Linked DNA regions of Arabidopsis thaliana. The protein of the gene in region 4 interacts with the protein of the main gene of each other region in a pairwise test. Each region holds a gene or a part of one and is shown on either strand. Other genes may lie near its edges. The genes, in order: CRK10, AT4G30500, ERS2 and MLO3.

Evidence for each region.
Region 1: the proteins of MLO3 (region 4) and CRK10 interact in a protein complementation assay, tested with the Arabidopsis thaliana proteins (one large-scale study listed by BioGRID).
Region 2: the proteins of MLO3 (region 4) and AT4G30500 interact in a protein complementation assay, tested with the Arabidopsis thaliana proteins (one large-scale study listed by BioGRID).
Region 3: the proteins of MLO3 (region 4) and ERS2 interact in a protein complementation assay, tested with the Arabidopsis thaliana proteins (one large-scale study listed by BioGRID).

Annotation. Positions count from the first base shown.
Region 1 is NC_003075.7:12,136,049-12,141,458, forward strand, and holds CRK10 (cysteine-rich RLK (RECEPTOR-like protein kinase) 10), read left to right. Parts: upstream 1-1,946; 5' UTR 1,947-2,122; coding exon 2,123-2,957; intron 2,958-3,077; coding exon 3,078-3,215; intron 3,216-3,298; coding exon 3,299-3,417; intron 3,418-3,510; coding exon 3,511-3,721; intron 3,722-3,813; coding exon 3,814-4,051; coding exon of another isoform or gene 4,052-4,052; exon of another isoform or gene 4,053-4,183; intron 4,184-4,187; coding exon 4,188-4,338; coding exon of another isoform or gene 4,339-4,398; exon of another isoform or gene 4,399-4,414; coding exon 4,415-4,732; 3' UTR 4,733-4,874; downstream 4,875-5,410. Other genes in the region: CRK11 (cysteine-rich RLK (RECEPTOR-like protein kinase) 11), read right to left, coding at 5,149-5,410.
Region 2 is NC_003075.7:14,901,468-14,905,508, reverse strand, and holds AT4G30500 (transmembrane protein (DUF788)), read right to left. Parts: upstream 2,159-4,041; 5' UTR 1,952-2,158; coding exon 1,868-1,951; intron 1,669-1,867; coding exon 1,475-1,668; intron 1,198-1,474; coding exon 1,113-1,197; intron 1,007-1,112; coding exon 941-1,006; intron 838-940; coding exon 745-837; 3' UTR 501-744; downstream 1-500. Other genes in the region: ATG18B (autophagy 18 B-like protein), read left to right, coding at 84-210; AT4G30490 (AFG1-like ATPase family protein), read left to right, coding at 3,626-3,875, 3,959-4,038.
Region 3 is NC_003070.9:1,154,248-1,159,822, reverse strand, and holds ERS2 (ethylene response sensor 2), read left to right. Parts: upstream 1-2,009; 5' UTR 2,010-2,277; intron 2,278-2,683; 5' UTR 2,684-2,697; coding exon 2,698-4,473; intron 4,474-4,545; coding exon 4,546-4,707; 3' UTR 4,708-5,059; downstream 5,060-5,575. UniProt on the Arabidopsis thaliana protein: Ethylene receptor related to bacterial two-component regulators. Acts as a redundant negative regulator of ethylene signaling.
Region 4 is NC_003074.8:16,615,825-16,621,876, reverse strand, and holds MLO3 (Seven transmembrane MLO family protein), read right to left. Parts: upstream 4,480-6,052; 5' UTR 4,292-4,479; coding exon 4,142-4,291; intron 3,796-4,141; coding exon 3,738-3,795; intron 3,564-3,737; coding exon 3,361-3,563; intron 2,735-3,360; coding exon 2,618-2,734; intron 2,487-2,617; coding exon 2,426-2,486; intron 2,333-2,425; coding exon 2,244-2,332; intron 2,141-2,243; coding exon 2,066-2,140; intron 1,980-2,065; coding exon 1,891-1,979; intron 1,815-1,890; coding exon 1,765-1,814; intron 1,662-1,764; coding exon 1,621-1,661; exon of another isoform or gene 1,540-1,620; coding exon 1,366-1,539; exon of another isoform or gene 1,340-1,365; intron 1,292-1,339; coding exon 1,256-1,291; intron 1,145-1,255; coding exon 1,077-1,144; intron 968-1,076; coding exon 907-967; intron 780-906; coding exon 525-779; 3' UTR 507-524; downstream 1-506. Other genes in the region: IVD (isovaleryl-CoA-dehydrogenase), read left to right, coding at 72-218.

The DNA.
Region 1 (5,410 bases), on a different chromosome or scaffold from region 4:
TGCTCTGCTTTACAAATTGACGTGTTGCTTTTTCTCTGCGTTTAAAATTGGTATCATCGAAATAAAGTAACTCAGTTTCTTACAATCAAAGAGATAAGGATTGTGAAGCAGCTAATGAGTCTTCTTATTTTGTCTTTACTTCAGTCTTCTCGTCTTTGATAGTGAATTGCTCATCTAGCTTTCTTAATCTTAGACTTGGTCAATGTTTTGGCTTTTCTCATACTAAACCAATTAATACATAAAATATTTAATTTATTTTCTATTACAATTATCTAGATATTTTTAGCTACACGTGATTGAAACGTGTCTCAAGCTACACCAACGCTCTTCCTCACAAACTGAATTCGTCGTCGATAGTGGTTGCTCTTGCTATCTTGATGTTTACTTCGTCTGATCGTTGAACTGGCCCGCTGCAACATTCTGAGTGTTCCAAGTGATTATTCTAGTTGTGCGTAACACCGTAACAGTAAAAATGAGCTAAGGAAAGCGAGATGCAAGGGAGAACCAACAGAAGCATAAGTTTTTCCTCTGTTATTACTAATGGAAAAAAACTTTCTTTTTCATTTTCTAATTCCTTGTCAGATTTCTCAGCTTCTCTTCTTTTTGTTTTGTGTAAGACTTGGTCGGAGTCTTAGATTACGCTGATGATTAAAAACTACTAAAAAAGAAAAAAAAAAGAATATTACGCAAATGTTCTCGATGCATTGACCAAGTCCTCTTCTGGTTCTGGCTCCATTTTCACATGCAGGCCCATAACCAATTTTAACGAGATTTGTTGCATGAAAAGCCGATTGTTTTTCCTTGGCAGTAACGAAAAAAAATTAGTTACTTTTTAAAAACTAGGGTTTTGAATAATATCATTAAAATCAAATAGAACGAACTAGGGTTTTGGCATCATACACCGCCTCATTCAATTATTAACAAAGCTGAGTCTTCTTCACGGAGAAATCACGGCTGAGCTAGGTCTCATATACCTTGCATCAATATCTTGGGCCTTTACTAGGATCGGAGATACATCAAACATAAAATACTTCTCGGTTTTATTTTCTCTTTCCTTATGTATATGTGAATGCCTTTAAAAATTTTGATTGCCTTTTTTCTCGTTTTGGAATAGTCATGAGAAGCTGAGAACCAAAAAGGAAATATTTCTCACCTTTGCAACTAGCTAGATGGAGCTTATGGATGCAAAATTCGTTTTAAAACACATTGTATTCGGATGATGTCAAAATATTTCACATTCATATAGCAAATTCATGTTTATATATTCCGATATTAACTTTAAATATTAAAACTTATATGCTGTAGATTCATATCCGGGTGAAAACACGAAAGGACTTATGATGGAACCATTATATGGAACGACGTCATGTGGAATATCAAGTTATTTAACTTCTCGCGAGTAAGACTATAAAAAGTAATAGAATAATTAGTAACTAACAATATCAGATAACGATAGGCAGATGATTTGGTAATACTATTTTAGTATCACTACATCACAATAACCATACTAGCATATACGATATACAAATTAATAAATTATCGTGCTTAAAACAAAAACCTATTATCAACCAATAATTTCTTCGCATCAGTGGCGACAATTTTTTCAGCCCCAGAATGATTCTTTGAAGAATAGTCAACAAAGATTCCTAATTTCAACAATTCTGTTCAAGGAAAAGTACGAAACAAATTCTACTGCTAGCTAGTTTCTCTCATGTATATCTAAATTCTATTACTAGTAATTAAGATCTTTGAAATCATGCCAACTGCTACATTTATTTTCTCTTGAAAATCCCAACTACCTTTTTTTTGATCAAAAAAAAAAAAGACTTTAGAGTTCAAAGCTTGAATTTAGAGTTATTATGTTTTAAATTTTGACAGTTTTGATAATTTTCTTCATTTTAAAATGATTTTATATTTTCCGTAATTTTTTTCTATATTTCATATATTAAAAAAATAAGTAATGGATTAGTAGCTAAACACAAGAAGTTGGACAAGACCCGACAATTTAATACGAGACGCGTTGACCTTGACCTTGACTTTTCGTCAGCACAAAACGTTATCTACGGTAGTCACTGAGAGAGAACAAACAATCAAATTTGTTTCATATATCACTCAAAGCTTGATGAGAAGAAACACAGATCAAGAAAGCCCAATTATGTCTTATTACTCCTCTTTCTTCTTCCTTTTCCTCTTCTCCTTTCTCACGAGTTTCAGAGTTTCTGCTCAAGATCCCACTTACGTATACCACACCTGTCAAAATACGGCAAATTACACAAGTAACAGCACTTACAACAACAATCTCAAGACCCTTTTGGCTTCTCTTTCTTCCCGCAACGCTTCCTACTCCACCGGATTCCAAAACGCCACCGTCGGCCAAGCTCCAGACAGAGTCACCGGACTTTTCAACTGCCGTGGAGATGTCTCAACGGAAGTTTGCCGTAGATGCGTCTCCTTTGCCGTCAACGACACCTTAACTCGGTGTCCTAACCAGAAAGAAGCCACACTTTATTACGATGAGTGTGTACTTAGATACTCTAACCAGAATATTCTCTCGACACTAATAACCACCGGTGGAGTTATCTTGGTTAACACCCGGAATGTGACATCTAACCAACTAGACCTGTTAAGTGATTTGGTTTTGCCTACTCTGAACCAAGCCGCCACCGTAGCCTTGAACAGTTCCAAAAAATTCGGTACGAGAAAAAACAATTTTACTGCGTTGCAGAGTTTCTATGGACTGGTTCAGTGCACACCTGATCTCACGAGACAAGACTGTTCGCGTTGTCTCCAACTGGTCATCAATCAAATACCTACTGACAGAATTGGTGCAAGAATTATTAATCCGAGCTGTACTTCAAGATACGAGATCTACGCGTTTTACACCGAATCCGCCGTTCCACCACCACCACCACCACCGTCAATTTCTACTCCTCCAGTTTCAGCTCCTCCGCGATCTGGTCAGAGCTCTGTTTTTTTCCTCTGTTTTTTTTTTTTGCCCTGATTTCTTGAAATTGGCAAAACCAATATAGAGAGTTTTCTTCTATCTGATTTTTAAGCAAATAATCTTTGAAATGCAGGAAAAGATGGGAATTCAAAGGTGTTAGTGATAGCCATTGTTGTGCCTATTATAGTGGCTGTTCTGCTTTTTATAGCTGGTTATTGTTTCCTTACAAGAAGGGCAAGGAAGAGTTATTACACACCATCTGCATTTGCTGGTAAAGATTTCAAGTGATAAACGATCTTTAATGTCAATGCTCAGCTTGTTTTTCCTGCTTCAAAGACTTTCATTGTGTAACAGGAGATGATATCACAACAGCAGACTCACTACAGCTTGATTATAGAACAATTCAAACTGCAACAGATGATTTTGTAGAGAGTAATAAGATTGGTCAAGGTGGATTTGGTGAGGTTTACAAGGTAAATTATAGTTCCCTTGAGCTGTGTTTTTTTTTTCTTGAAATTTTAAGCCAACACTTTTGGATAATGGGATGATGCTGATGAAAACAACAGGGTACTTTATCGGATGGGACTGAAGTTGCGGTGAAGCGACTATCAAAGTCATCAGGACAAGGTGAAGTAGAGTTCAAGAACGAGGTTGTTCTTGTTGCAAAGCTACAACATAGAAATCTGGTTAGACTTCTTGGGTTTTGTCTAGACGGAGAAGAAAGAGTACTGGTCTACGAGTATGTGCCCAACAAAAGTCTTGATTACTTCCTCTTTGGTTAGTTGCATTTAATGCTTTGTTTCAATGATTCTTGATACTTGGGGTTACGAATGTTTAGAGATCTCATTGTGATTTATGGATGTGGACAGACCCTGCAAAGAAAGGCCAGCTGGATTGGACTCGACGATACAAGATTATCGGTGGAGTTGCTCGAGGGATTCTGTATCTTCATCAAGACTCACGACTCACAATCATACACCGTGACCTCAAAGCCAGTAACATTCTCTTGGACGCGGATATGAATCCTAAAATTGCAGATTTTGGAATGGCTAGGATCTTTGGATTGGACCAAACCGAAGAGAACACAAGCAGAATAGTTGGTACCTAGTAAGTCTTCCTCATAACTTCTCATAAGTTGAAGTTTTCTGAACATTCTTTTGTTAACATAGTTTTTGTTGTGGGTTTATAAGTTGAAGTTTTCTGAACATCCTTTGGTTAACATAGTTTTTGTTGTGGGTTACAGTGGTTACATGTCTCCCGAGTATGCAATGCATGGTCAGTACTCAATGAAATCTGATGTCTATAGCTTCGGAGTGTTAGTTCTTGAGATTATAAGTGGCAAGAAGAATAGCAGCTTCTACCAAACAGATGGTGCACATGACTTGGTCTCATATGTAAGTTTTAAACCTATCAAGTTCCATATTTACCTGAACATAGTTGCAAGTGTTGATTGATTGAATAATATTCTAGGCTTGGGGGCTTTGGAGTAACGGGCGACCATTAGAACTCGTGGATCCAGCTATTGTAGAAAATTGCCAAAGGAATGAAGTTGTTCGATGTGTCCATATCGGTCTTTTATGTGTTCAAGAAGATCCTGCTGAGCGTCCGACGTTGTCAACCATTGTTCTGATGCTCACTAGTAACACTGTGACTTTACCCGTGCCACGGCAACCCGGTCTTTTCTTTCAGAGTAGAATTGGAAAAGACCCGCTTGATACAGATACAACGAGCAAATCTCTTCTAGGGTCTGTTGACGATGCATCCATCACAGATATACATCCTCGATGATGATGAGTTTTTCCCTTCATACCTGATTCCTGAATCTATTGGTGTTGAAAATAAGTTAAAAACTTCTTTTGTTATAGAATGTTTGTATTGTAATTGTAACCACAAGCAAGTATAAGATATATACCATTTACACGTTTCTCCATGAAGACGTAACAGTGACTTTTCCCTCCAAATTAAGCTTACACAACGATCTAGCAGGTAATTTGATTCAGCATGAAGAGAGTAAAACCAGTAATCGAGAAACGATTCTTAAAGAACTGTGAACTGTTCATAAGCATTTTACAGTGGACACTGTACAACATACAATTACAGATAAACCTGCTATGTTTCTTATGTCCGTGGACAAATAATATAAATGTCATCTGACCATTTTTCTGTTACAACTTTTAAGCTATGATGAGGAACCACATCAATTTTTACGAACTAAATGAGGAAGACTTGCTTGTATACTGATCAGACTCTGATCCTTCAGATACCAGTTTCAGTTGCCTGCTTCGTGGGAAAAATCCCGGTAGGCGAGGCACTGGTAGAGTAATTGTGTTACTAGTCAGCATTAAGATGATTGTTGATAACATTGGACGGTCTTCTGGATTTTCTTGAACACATAACAGCGCGATATGGATGCACCTAGTGACTTCATTACTCTGATAATTCCTTCCAAAAGTTGGATCCACCAGC
Region 2 (4,041 bases), on a different chromosome or scaffold from region 4:
GTAAGATTTTAGGATATCTTCATTTTGAAACCATGGTTACATGACAAGTTTTGATAATCTTTTACCTTTCACGTTCTTTTCAGAGCAACGGTATCGGTGATCACTTATAACGGATATTTCCAGGAGTATACGCTAAGTATCAATAACAAGAATGAGTCTCTATGGACACTGGAACGTGAATTCAATCTCTTCTCCATAACCACCGGGTGATGTATACAACCAAATATCAAATATATGAAAGTACTGGGCAACTTTTTTGTATGTAACAATTTTTGTACCTTGGGTTCATTAAGAATATGTTTATAGTCTCATGTTCTTTGGTTATTCGCAAATATAATTAGCTCTTCCGTGCTATTACTGTATCTTAATCTTGATTTGTGTTGAAGAAATGAAATACAAAATGGTTTCCCAACTCTTTCCATCATATCCCACTTACTCCATAGTTACAGTCAAGGCTCTTTAGCTATGAATCAGAATTTTCAAGTCAGGATCATTTGTCGGTCTAATGGCTCACAAGTCATAACATCATCATAATCCAAAGAGCAAAAGTCTTTTATCTTATGAGAATTCACTGTATCCTACTCAAGACTATTAGTCTACTTCATCTTAACACATCCATTAAGTCAAAATAGTGTAAAGACAGGTACATTACAAAGTCAAGAGTATTTACCCATTGATTTGCATTTTGTATGTTTGAAGAAAGATTTGCTAATTGTGTTTGCTAAAGATGAATGTTTAAGACATTCATCGAGATCTTGTCTTAACGACTTGTCCTCTAGAAGCTTTTCTCTCCATCTTCTCCCTCTTTTTGCGAGTCTTCTCATCCTCAACACCTCCCTAAGTTCAGTCATATAGACAAAACACAGTCCATTTTAAATGATCATGTTTTATTTCCCCCTTGTTCAAAGCACTTTGAGAGTATTCAAGACAAAGTGATTACCTCTGAACCATGTGACAATAGTCCCTTAATAAGACCAGAAGCTTTGTATGCTCCAAATGCAGGGATCTAAAATAAAAACAAGCAAAAGTAAATGGTTGCATCATTCCTACAGAGCAAATCTGTTGTTTGCCTTAAAATATGGCAATAAAGAAAATTGAGATGGGTATCATACCACTAAATACGCGTACCAAAACTTTCCAGAGATGATAGATCCGACCTGCACAAAGCAGGTGATGTAGAGTACATCATGCAAATATCTGCAAGGAAGAATAGAGCATCAGGCTTATACTATAGAATCTACCATAAATCCAATCCACCATAAAGATGACGATTATGTAGCAACTGATAAACGATAAAACTCGGAGAAAGCCACAACTAGTAAAACATCACTCATTTCAAACAACTGATAATGAAACAGTCCTCCTACTATTGCTTTTGGTTATGGAAACAGAATCCAACTATACAGAAACACTTGAGACAAAAGCAGGCACTTTCTAGTTGATCAATTTAAAAGACAAATCTTTCCGAACGTACCCACACATTCCAGGAGTGCTCATGTCAAATCCACCATCAAGAAGTTCACCAGCATCACTAACACTAGGCTTTGCCATTTGATGAAGAAGCTTATATGGAATCCCGTAACCTAACGATGTTAACACAAGACCAATCCAATTTTTCCAGGTATGACTTGAATGCGAAATTATAACCCTCACTAGGACATACAAAATCTGCAAACACATATTGCCAAAAACATCAATCCTCGAATTCATCGAAACAAAATCAGCTAAACATTGAAACTTTCGAGACCTAAAGATCAAATTCAACGGATTTTTAGTTCCATATTGATACAAGTAACGTATCTAAACAAATCTAAGCTCAACGGATTAATGTATTGAGAATTTAAGAAATGAGGAACGAGGAAGTTACGTTGCAAAGGATCATAATGAGACGGAGCTTAGCCATGTGTCGAGCGTTCTCATCTTTCCTCTTCTTTGCTCCTTGATTCGCCATGAGTTAAAAGAGAATGATCAAAGAGACGAGGAAGATAGTTTTTTCAGTTTCTGTAATTCTTCTTTTGCTTTGGATCTTCACAAATGGTGTGAGAGAAAACTTTTAGGTGTCTAAGCTTGTTTAATCCAATTATATATTGACACCTGTACCTTTTTGTCGTCCTCTTTTCTCAAATACTTTTTTCACGCAGGAAATGTTTTGTTTGGCTGCGTGTCGTAATTACGCTTTTCCTTGGGTTTAGGACAAAGATTCTTAATTTGGGCTTTCGTCTATCCTTATCAGTTGTTGTTGGAAAACTGAAACAGTTCTATCTAAATGGGCCAGAACAACCTAAAAGGCCCATAAAATCTGACATCTTAAGGCCTATCAACAGAAAACTGCATTATTTCAGTTTTCCAATAACAAGGTCTGTGTGAAAATCACCGGCGCTCGGAGAAGACATCAACATAAAACCTTTTACCGCTGTTCCAAAAACTAAAAAGTATACCATTTCTATGATCAATCGGTAAAACGATATTTATAACGGAACAAGAACAAAAGTAGTGTAAATTTTTTTCCCTGTTTTATGTTGTTCTATAGACAAAAAAAAATGAAGATATCATATCTTGTGGGCCTATATCCAATATTTGAGTGTAGCCCATATTTGGATCAAACATCACGTCTTACACAATGGTTCTCGGATATCCCAATCTGAGTATGGTTTTAGGTCAATTCAACATAGTATTATTTTGTCAACAAGCACCATTATAGCAAAAACAAAGATGTATCAAAGAAAAGTAGCGTTAGGGGTTGGTCAGAAAAAGACATGTTTGCAGTGTAAGAAATGACGTGGACACGTGGAATCATACGCAATGCAACATGTCATCATTAAGGTCCATTGTTCAACTTACCCATTGAGAACAAAACTAGAAAAATTATAGACCGTTGGATCATCTTTAAGGACCATGTCTGATTCACGTATCTCTCTCCCACTTGGAATATGCTTAGCCTATGTATGGGACACATTCGCTAGGTCCACCAGTATCCTGTACGCAAACGCAACATCGAGAAGCTTCCGTTTCCAATATTCTATACTATAATTACAAATGTTAAAAATTGTTTATAAAATTTGTAATTTGACTTGTAGACATCATTAGGGTAAAGATATATCAAGAAATTACTTTTTTCATAGGAATAAAAATAGTCAACTCTCTTAAATAAGGGACAAATACAATCCTCTAATGACCTGGAAAACAACTATGCAATCAACATTAACAAATGTAATTAGAAGTACAACACAATCAATTTTGGTTAAAAAATTGAAAGTATATAAAAATAAAAAAATAAAAAACGTGTCTTAGTTGATAAATAACTCATTAATCACGCCTCTATCTCTCTGTTTTAAGAGTTTAACAGTTAAAGATCTTCTTCTCTATCTTCCTTATTTGACTACATCTCCGTTTATTCTTGGGTCTCTCTCTATCTCTCTTATCCAGATTTATCATCGTCATTACATATAAACATCAAACTTAACTTTTCAATATTCTCATTCACTTTTTCCTCTTGTGCTCTAATTCTTATCCGGATCCGATTTCTCTCATACAAAGATTCTGTTTTTCTTCTTGGGTTATTGTTCTTGCTCTGTTTCCGTATCTCAAAGTTTCAGCTGCTGAATTGAATTTGCATTGATCGTAGATGAGACCAATCATTAGGTTATCATCTCTCAGTAGAATTAGATGGGCTCTAAGGAACAATCAAGAACGTTATTCTTCAACTTTCTACTCCAAAAGCCGCAAACTTTTGATCGGTGTCAATCAAAATCAAGCTCTGCTGAATACAAACACTGATAATTCAAGTTTGTATTCAAGGTCAAGTATCTTTAGAGGCTTATCAGCAGAAGCAGTAGAAGCAGCTGATCCTGCTACTACTAGGGTCACCGTCTCAGGTTTTGTTTCTCTTTGCAAAGAAATTCTATCAATCTCAGAGTTCGTGTTTATTGGTTTGCTGATATTTGTTGAATGATGACAGATGTGAATAGAACAGGTCCTCTTGTTGAGTATGAGAGAAGAATCAGTAATGGTGAACTCATGACTGGTGATATCTGCCAAGTA
Region 3 (5,575 bases), on a different chromosome or scaffold from region 4:
AAATGGAGATTTGCTGAAACGTACTCTCGATAACAGTTCATATTCAAGACTCAAGAGAATCTCGTATATTCTAAGGAAGACGTACCTAAACAGAAAGTTGGTCCCAAAAAACGAGAGAAGGAATGAAAGATCAAGGATACATGTTTTATATACATGAAAAATACTAAATTTTAAAAGAAGTATTAAACGTTTTTATAATGTCACCGGAAAGAAGATGTAAATGTATTGATCAAATCATCTGACTATAAAAGTAATTCAAATCACCATTTTTTTAAATCAATTTGAATATTTGATGAATTTCCGTATATAAACAATCAGTCCCGCTCTTGCTGTATAAATGAAACGTCTATCAAACATTAGCTAGTCTTGTACTGGATTGCCTTTACAGACAAAAGATTATACTGTATATGTATGTGGTCTCATGCAAAAAAAGTAAAAATGATTCTGTGTACATCTGTTTTGATTTGCATATATATTGGCTTAAGTGGCAAAGGTGCATGCACTATTTCTATTTCTTTGATAAAAGTTTTATGATGCATGCATTCTTACCAGTGATTTCTTTAAAAGGAGAAGACATTTGTTTTGTAATAGTGACGAGAATGTAGACAGAAAAGGAAAGGAATCAGCACGTGTTCATCGCTCGACACGTGGCCAATAATAGCATTGGATTCAGAAAAAAAGAAAAAGAAAAAAGCGAAAAAACCTGTATAACAGGAAAAAAATACAATCTGCACCAGCCGGGAATCGAACCCGGGTCTGTACCGTGGCAGGGTACTATTCTACCACTAGACCACTGGTTATTTATTTAAAAGATTTATATTGGTATAAAACCTTGACCATAAAATGTTCCTAGTGCATCCACTAAGATCAAATTCATATTAATAAACAAAAACATAAAATTCAAACCGATATAGCAAGATTGCTGTTAGTTTTGTCTTCTAAATCTGATAAGTGTTCGTTATTGTCGAGGTTATGTAGCTAGTTTATATATTACTTGTACTAAATTTCAATAGGGCAATCAAAATATACGGATTTTCATGTGTATATATTTTTCTAAATTTGCGGTTTACAAAGAAAAGTTAGTGGTTGATCATATTGATTTCTTGAAAGGGAAATATTACCAATAAAATGATAAAATTGCCAAGAAAAATTAGTAGTACGATCGATAATTTAGTGATATTGGGATCCAAAGAGATGATCATGCACTTAGTTAAGACTCCATTTTCTGATAAGAGTTAAGTGGCGGTAGACCCACAAAGAAATTTGATTCGGTATTGTTATTATTGAGTAGAAAAACAAAGATGGAGTGTTTAACTAAATCATGTCTAATAAGTAGCAAGGTAGGTCAATATAACGTTTTACAAACGAAAAATAGCATTGCATATTTAATTATCTACCAAATATCTTAAGTCAGTCGAATAAACTAACTCATTATGTTATCAAATCAGCCGCAAATTGTGCCGTTTAAGTCAATACTATTTTTAACTTAGATATTTAGTGAGTAGACTTCATACTTGCATAGTCTAGTAGTTATCATTGTTTAATGCAATTTTTTGGTTTTAATGTAAACTTATACTACTATTTGGTCATGTAATCTCACTTTCTAAAAAACCAATGTAATCATCCATAATAGAAATAAAACATTTATTTAATATAATTAACTAATTTTTAAACATTAAAAAGAATAGATTTATTTTTATACATAAAATAATAGAAATATAAATATATATATATATTATTATAGGTTGTTTATTGTAATCCAAAAGCAGAATAAAATTTGGGATAGGTATTAAGAGTCATAAATCTTGAAAATAGAGTCATTAATTAATAAAGCTGAAAAGGAAAGATTAAAAAAAGAAGAAGAATCCTCTAAAATTGAATTTGGTAAGAGTCCACGTAGGTCAAGAAGAAGAAGAAGAAGATGTCGTGCTCGTGTTGTGTTCCAAACGAAAAGCGTCTATGTTCTCTTCATGTACCGTTTCTGGGTCCCACCCCCCTTTCCTTCTTCACTCTCCCCCCAATTCCTCCCTCTCTCTCTCTCTCTCTCTCTCTCTCTCACCAAAACGTAAATCTACTCTCTCTATCGCAGCAGACACAGAAAAAGAGAGAGCGAGAGACTCTGCTCACACACATATTTACTTCCCTAACTTGTCTCTCTCTCTACACATTCTGGTGAGTTTCGTAAGATTCAACAATCGTTTAGACTTCTTCTTCTTCTTCTTCTACAGCTTTTACGTTTTCTGGAAAAGAGATTTTTGGCTGATCACTACGTTGCAGGTATATGATTTCTCAAATGTGAGATGGGTTTGATGTTCCTTTTCGCTATTTCTCATCTGATTTTGAATTTTCTGCGGATTTTGTGAGGAATCGGTAGATTTTGATGTTTGTTCTTGTGGGTGGTTCATAACTTCATACATTTAGGGGATTAAAAGAAAATTAATTTACAAATTCGGTCCTTGTTGTGAAAAAGATTTATAATCTAAAAGACATTAACTTTACTCTCTCCTTGAACAAGTTTTGAATTTTGAATCTTTTTCTGATTTTGATTTTCACTATGTTCATAGGTAATTGCACAATTCTGGGTATACAAAATCCAAACGTTACGCATATTGAATTGAAAAATCTCGATTTTGAGTTCTGGGTATGAATAAAAATCTCACCTTTTTAATTAATTCTTACTCAGGGAAACAGTAATCGATGTTAAAGACATTGTTAGTCCAATGGCTTGTCTTCTTCTTCTTCTTCTTAATCGGTTCCGTCGTCACCGCCGCAGAAGACGACGGTAGCTTGTCGTTATGCAACTGCGACGACGAAGACAGTCTCTTTAGCTACGAGACAATCCTCAACTCGCAAAAAGTCGGCGACTTTCTTATCGCAATCGCTTATTTCTCGATCCCAATCGAGCTGGTTTACTTCGTGAGCCGCACCAATGTGCCTTCACCTTACAATTGGGTGGTCTGCGAGTTTATAGCCTTCATTGTTCTCTGCGGCATGACCCATTTGCTCGCTGGTTTCACCTACGGGCCTCACTGGCCTTGGGTCATGACAGCTGTCACTGTCTTCAAGATGCTGACTGGTATCGTCTCTTTCCTCACGGCACTCTCGTTAGTCACTCTCTTACCATTGCTTCTTAAGGCTAAGGTTCGTGAGTTTATGTTGAGTAAGAAGACCAGAGAGCTTGATCGTGAGGTTGGGATCATTATGAAGCAGACTGAGACGAGTTTGCATGTTCGTATGCTCACTACCAAGATTAGGACGTCTCTTGATCGACACACCATTCTATACACTACGCTTGTGGAGTTGTCCAAGACTCTGGGGCTCAAGAACTGTGCGGTTTGGATCCCGAATGAGATCAAGACGGAGATGAATCTTACTCATGAGTTAAGACCGAGGATTGATGATGAGAATGAGAATGAGCATTTTGGTGGTTATGCTGGGTTCTCGATACCGATTAGTGAGTCTGATGTTGTGAGGATTAAGAGAAGCGAAGAGGTGAATATGTTGAGCCCTGGTTCTGTGCTTGCCTCAGTGACTAGCCGAGGGAAGTCAGGTCCTACGGTTGGGATAAGAGTCCCTATGCTTCGGGTTTGTAACTTTAAAGGCGGGACACCAGAGGCGATTCACATGTGTTATGCGATATTGGTGTGTGTGCTTCCATTGAGACAGCCGCAGGCTTGGACTTATCAAGAGCTTGAGATTGTTAAGGTGGTGGCTGATCAAGTGGCGGTTGCAATCTCTCACGCCGTGATTCTTGAAGAATCTCAGCTTATGAGAGAGAAACTCGCTGAACAGAACCGAGCGCTTCAGGTTGCGAGGGAGAACGCACTGAGAGCTAATCAAGCCAAGGCTGCGTTCGAGCAGATGATGAGCGATGCAATGAGGTGTCCTGTGCGGTCCATTCTCGGGTTGCTTCCTTTGATACTTCAGGATGGGAAGTTACCCGAGAACCAGACTGTTATCGTTGATGCAATGAGGAGAACCAGCGAGTTACTTGTACAGCTTGTAAACAATGCCGGAGATATAAACAATGGGACAATCCGCGCTGCAGAGACTCATTATTTCAGTTTGCATTCGGTTGTGAAAGAGTCAGCTTGCGTGGCGAGGTGTTTATGCATGGCAAATGGTTTTGGTTTCTCAGCTGAAGTTTATAGAGCATTGCCTGACTACGTCGTAGGTGATGATAGAAAGGTCTTTCAAGCGATTTTGCATATGCTTGGGGTTCTAATGAATCGAAAGATCAAAGGGAATGTGACTTTCTGGGTTTTTCCGGAAAGCGGGAACTCAGACGTATCAGAGAGGAAAGATATTCAAGAAGCGGTTTGGCGACATTGCTATTCGAAAGAATACATGGAAGTTAGATTCGGATTCGAGGTAACTGCTGAAGGTGAAGAGAGTAGTAGTAGTAGTAGTGGTAGTAACCTGGAGGAGGAGGAAGAGAATCCGAGTCTCAACGCTTGCCAAAACATTGTAAAGGTTGGTCATTTGTGTTTTGTATGTAAATGTGCTAATGACTTGGTTTAACACTTTTATCTTGTTTTGTGACAGTATATGCAAGGGAATATTCGGGTTGTTGAGGACGGTCTAGGTTTGGTGAAAAGCGTCTCAGTTGTTTTCCGGTTTCAACTCCGGCGATCGATGATGTCGAGAGGCGGTGGATATTCTGGAGAAACGTTTAGAACCTCAACTCCTCCGTCTACTAGCCACTGATCATTGACGTCAGGAAGGGGGGGAGGGGAATGTAGTGCAAAAGAAAGATTTAAGGGGTGGAATCTGAGAATTTGTAAAAACAGTAGGGGCTTTAATGAGATTAACAGAGAGAGTACTAAAACGTTGTCGTTCGGTTGTAAAAACCTGAAAGTTAACTAGGTTTTAACCTATCGTGTAGGCAAAAGGTATGATGCAGACTTGTTGTAACTTGCTGGTGATAACAGAATTCAAAGTAAAAAAATGTGTCGGAGGATGTTCCTTACGGATTTGTGATTTACAAGCCTACCAACTCCTTTGTCAAATATTGTGACGTTTTAGATGAAGCTTATAAATTTATTGATTTCTGATCCAGAAACCGTATACAACTTGTATCCACAATATGTATCCAGGTACATATTAACTTCGACCTTTTAATTAACTTTTGTTTTTAAAAGGTTTATGTGATTTTTTTTTTTTAACATTGAGGTGATTCGTGCGACCTCTCTTTCTCTCTATTTATCTCTCTTTCTTTTCCTCCGTCGTCTTTTTTGGTTTGTTCTCTCTCTGTAGAATCTCATAGGAGCTGCCATTAGCCCATTCAACGAATTAGCTTCTCTTTGCTCTTTCTTCCACCATCTCAGGTTCGCTTCGATCTACAACCAATAAGCTTCTTCTATATCTCCTCCTTTGTTCTTCGGATTTTGCGAGGCTTTATGTTCCGATTACAGTCTTTCATTTTGATACCACACCGATTTTGATTTTCCCCGATCGTTGATTTCATCTGGGCTTTGTTTTGTTTTCCGATGTCTTTGATGAAATTATGAGGTTTCTCTGGATATTTTAGCTGATTGAAATGATATATTGCTTCGCCGCCCTCTAATTTTTCGGC
Region 4 (6,052 bases):
ATCATAACTACACATATTGATCACCTAGTTACCTTTCCTTTAAGACTAAAAGATTTGGTTTGATGTTGCAGGCGATACAATGTTTAGGCGGAAATGGATACATAAACGAATATGCAACAGGACGCCTTCTAAGAGATGCAAAGCTATATGAAATCGGTGCAGGGACAAGCGAGATCAGAAGGATTGTCATCGGTCGCGAGCTTTTCAAAGAAGAATAGAGATAAGTCTGTTTTCTGCATTGCCAATGCGACATTTTCATTCTGTACACGTATATATAATTCACAGTGTCCTTAATAACCTCACAATAAGAAAAATAGCTTCAAGCAATCCTCTAGAAACCATATCAATTATTAGTCACATTATGTGTGACATGTTATCACGATACCAGCATGCCAATCTAACACTGACACTTCTGGTTAAACTTACTATTTTGTCATTTGATTCGTCAATAATTAGTAAAGGCAACTCTAAAAAGTTCTTAACAATAATACCAACAATCTCTTTCTCATTTTCCATCAATCTGATCACCTTTCAGTTTTCTCTTGTATCTGTATCTCTTGTAAAATCGGCGATTGTCTACCCGAAAATCTAAACTCAGAAGCAACTTCTGTCTGAACCGGACTTTCTCCAGAATCAATATCACCATTGTTATTGTTACTGTTGTTGTCGGTGTCTGGCGTTTGGATAGTCTTTTTCTTGTCTCTAACCATCCCTTGCCAGTGCCTTAACACATTTGCTAGTTGTTCTTCTAAGATTGCTCTCTTGTAGCTTGACCCCATCTAAACACATATATATATGCATCCAAATCAAATTCAGATCACTAGGTTACACTAACAGTAATAATTTATATACTAATGCAAAACGATTTAATTTAAAAATGGTGTTATATATATTGGACTAAATTACCTGAGTTACAATGGCATAAAGAGGCAATGTAATGTAGCTGCTCAAGAACTGGACTGTCACCCTATAAATCATAATATCCTTAATATTAACGATATGATTTTTAATACAAAAATATAATTTCGAAAATGTAAATAATTTGTGGGATAAAATAAATAAATTGTAGTGCTTACGCTAATACAAGTCGTGTGATTATGATCCCTTGGTTATCATGGTAGCAAGAGTTAATCCCAAATTGCCACTAATTTCATAATTAAAATTATAGATACATCACATATAACAATTTCCTATATTATTTTTCCCTTTCTTATAAATCCAAATATTAAAATCCCTATAAGAAATTAGAACTTACAGTGATCCACACAATAAATGCCATCTCGAAGGTGTTCTGTATTAGAAAAATTAATGTTGGCATTATGATGAAGCATTAGGAAAAACGACATGTAGTTTATAAAAGATTACCAGAAACAGCGTGTAGTGTAGAATGCTTAAGAGAAAACGAGGATTGGAAAACCAGAAATGCGTGTCGTTTGACTCAACGAGAGGGGTTCCTCTAATTACACTGTTATTCTCCTTAATTGTGACCGCCATTTTCGCTACTATCATCTCTAGTTTCGTCCCGATCACTAAAACTATCTACGTAACAATATTAGTTCGTCAATAATTTGAGTTACACATATAGTTAATTAGTCTTAACTAGATTAAATTAGCTCTTACAATGAGTGGCACAAATGACATATAAAAATATACTCTCCAACCTGATGATTAAGAAAAAAAGAAGAAGATAAGATAAAAACGAGTAATCACTAATAATTATTTTAATTTAACTATTTAAGCTAACAAATATATAAATTAAGTTACCAGAAACGTCGAGGAGCATAAAGATGACCACAGTTAGCCACATTAAAGGACTGTAACAAAATTAAAAAGTTTATTTGATTTAACTTTGTTACTTAAGATTCATGTAAAATACACAAATATGACTACCTTATACCAACCACAGTTTTAAAATCTTCATGTAAAGATCTCTGTATATAGTTTTGGAAGTTGAAAGCATTATTTGACGATACATGAGCCTGCATCAATAATCAAAATAACACATTAAATTTAAAATTTATTTATTTTTAAATAATTATTCATTGACAAAAAATGAGGTACTAACAAAGATGAACCCATGCCGAAGTGTGAGGTAATCTACTTTCGCCACTGAGTTGTAAAATTGCCTGAAGAAACATTTCTAAGAAGAAAAAAACTTAATTATTAATATAGTTAAACCTATATATTTGAGATAAATGTTAATTAACAAATTAATTAAAGATTAATAATAGGTACGAACTTACAATCCAAAGTTGAAATGATGTTTCAGTCCATGAACTCAGGTGTCGTCGAGCAAATGTTGTATCTCTTGTTATTCTAAACCTATTCGGATCTTTAAATTTTCATAAAATATTAATTAACTTATCGACTAAGAAATAATTGACATTGCATGTAATTTCGTAGTAGAAAAATACAAAAATCTTACCGTTTGCTGCTAGATACTCCACTGTTTGGGTCTCTTTCTCCCACGAATTCCATTTTCTCATCTATATGTATTACGTACACAAAAAACTTTGTATGTAAACAATAGTAAAAAACCATGTCACAAATTATTGAAGTCTTTATTAAACAATTGTAATGTTATAATATTTGATTGCATAGTGTATATATGTAGTACCTTGGCCATTCCAAGGAGAAGAATAGCAAGATTGCAGAGAATATGCATGCATGCCAACACAAAGAAGAAGTAACTCAACTGAGTCAACCCTTCTTCTGATATTAGTGAAGTCTTACCCTGCAAATTTTATTTTATTAAATCGGATTAGTTACTTCGAAATAAAATTTACTTTAGTAAGCAAAGAAAAAGTCATACTCTTGATATTTTGTTCATAACTCAACAATTTTTTTTTTGTTTTCTTTTTTATTTGGACGTAATTTTCTTGATTAGTGGACTCTAGCTAACGACAATGTCCAAGACTCCAAGTCAACGTCAAAGTAAACTAGTTGACATTTTTGGATTTTGCGGTCCTCTCTCCCTCCATCTTGGATTTCAAGAAGATATCTTAAAACTTTTGGATTCAGAAGTTTCATAAGTTAAGCATATAAAAATGTATATGATTAAATCTCTTATTTAAATAATCATATTGTAGAATAGTAAGCAATAAAAGGTTATGAAAACTGGAAAATCATTTAACGAAAATTCATAAATCAAAAACTAAATTGTGTGATTGATTAAGAAAACAAAATTGCTGCATAATTTCTATCTACAGTTTCACTGGTCATCAAAACTTTTGTTTTTCTAAGTTAAAACCTTTGTATACTACTTTTATACATTATATATATGTCCACCTTGGATTTAAAGATAAATGAAAATAAAACTGTAAAATGATTTTAATTAAAGATCAAAGGGTCAAAAAGAACCTTGGAAGAGCATTGATGAAAGAAGCTGTTGTCATGATTATCACCATCATCATCATCATCATCTTCACTAACATCATTATGTGATTTTATGGTTTTACGGCATGGCAACATTCGATTGGCATACTTTATAGGAATGCATATCTTCGAAACTTCTCCTTCAGTTACATTTAGCATTAGTGACATGAATCCTAGCACCATTAGAACTGCCCTTACAGAACATTAAAAATTCAGAGATTAATAAAATTGGAAGAGATATTTCAATTGATTTTCATATCCAAAAATTTAGGATTTTTTTTTACTATAAGATGTTTGAGCTTTTTAAATTAAACAAAGATTGATGACCAATGAACTTTTCTACGAATGGGACAGTTTTTTACCTGATTTGAGCTTCTCTACAGCTTCAAGTAGCGACGTTTTTCTATTTTTCTTAAGTCTCTGCAAGAAAAGAGACAATATATATATAATACAGTTTTGTCTTGAACTTTCGACTCGCTTTTTATTTTTTGTTGAAATTTCAACTCATGTTATCTAGCTGATATTTTTCGAAAATGGTTAAAATATTAAAATACATTTTTATTAACATACATATTTACTACTTCACCTATATATCTAATTTAATAAAATATAAATATATCCAATTTAAATTCTTGCAAGTGTAAACCAAACTCTACTTTTCCAAGAACAAAAAATTTATAAAAAAAACTTAAAGAGATTAGTCAAAATTTAAACAGTGTATAGAAGAAAGTATATATGATCCTATAATATACATATTTGTACTTACAGTGGATAGAAGATTGATGAGACGCTCGAGGCAAATGGAAACAGCGATGAAGAAGAAACAAACGGTGGCCAGAGCCCAAGTGGGAGTTTCTTGGAGGGATCGGACGGCGCCAACCTCCGAGGAGTGGTTGCTTTCTTCTTTATCCGTCATCTCTTTATATTTTTCCCGGTGACTGATTTGTTTAGTTGAGAAGATGAAGAATTAGATATGTGGTGGAAAATATAACTATATATCTATTAATATTGTCGCAATCATTGTTGTGTTGCAATCAAGAACTTGTCAAAGTTTCTAGTAAACACTGACGTTTAAGCTTTAAATGTGACATTAAATCCCAAGTCCCACTTCATACGTACTGCCCTGTCTTGACTTGGTAAGACTTAATATTATTCTTGGGTAAACTTGATAAGTAAATTAAAATAAAAAAATTTTAGTTAGTAAACTAAAAATGGATTGGAGTATTGGACGGTGAAAACCGACAATGTAAAGAAAGGATAAAACAGTTTCTAATTTTCTGCAATTATAGTCGATTTTACTAGTTAACTTTTAACTTTTAATTTAGTGGGTATATTATTTATTAAATGGAAATTAGAGTTATAAATTATAAGTTTTTGAGTTTGATTTTGTTAGACGTTCATTTGATAGTTCAGAAAACAAAATAGCACGTTACAAATATAAGTTCATTTTAATGTTTCTAGTAAAAACTAAATGAGAATAAAAACAAAATTAAGGAATATACTATGTAATGAAAATTTCTTATTTGTTGCCCTTTTTGTGTATATTATGAAAATTTCACCGTGGCCGTGAGAAGGGGTTACACATGTAAAAAAAAAAACTATGTAATGAACCCAAATCATATTATTGATATTTTCTTAATTTCATCAATAAATATTGCGATCTACCAAATTCACCTTCTTTTTCGGTTTAACAACCACATCAATATATAATTTTTAATACAAGAACGGAAATGACAATAAAAAAAATGATTACTTACTTCACAACATGATAACAAAACAAAACCAATATGACATCGTAAAATATTCTGGATGAACATTTGAACAAACATAATTATACGTACATTTTCTTAAGCTTATATATATATATAGAGATAAAAATAATGAACTTATATAGTTTTCAAAATTGTTGGAAAAAAAATGGAGGGTTCTAAGTCTAAGGTTTTTATTGTGCTTGATTAATTTAAAAAAAAAAACAAGAAACTAAAGCTAGAAATTAGGATTTAAATCATATCCAAATGGCCAAATTAAATGATGAGAACATTTTAGAGAGAAATCCCAACCACGTCTGATTTTATCATCCGAGCAATTCAGGATCCTTTTTTCTCGACTAAGCTCAGATCATCTTTGTTGTATTTGTTTGATGGCTGGTTTCCAGTTTCTTCGTCGAAACCATGTCTAGTGAATATCATTTTTTTGTTCTCTAGCTTTCTTCTCTTTTGTTTTGTTTTGTTTCCGTTTTTCTTTTACAATCTCATTGGTTTTCTCTAGTGATTGCAAAAACGTTGGAATCATAACAAAGAATCCTTTCAAATCTATCCGTACAACAGCCGCCCCACTGAGCACACTATAACACAAACTAAAAAAGATCTGATATATCGATGTTTGTATTATGTTGCAAATTAAACCAAGTTCCGACCCACTCAAGAATTAGAGCTTTAACAATCACGGGTGAAACGTATTTTTACACAAAACAAACATAAATTAAAATAAAATAAAAACATTAATTACATGTTTTATTATATACAGACAAATATTAAATATCAATAATTTTATCAAATAATTTATTTTAATCGTTTCATCCCACACTAGATGCGAGTTCTTATCTAGTTATAAGTTTATAACATAATCGTCGACAAAAGCCTATACGTTTTTTACTTAGGGCTGGCTCAAAATAATT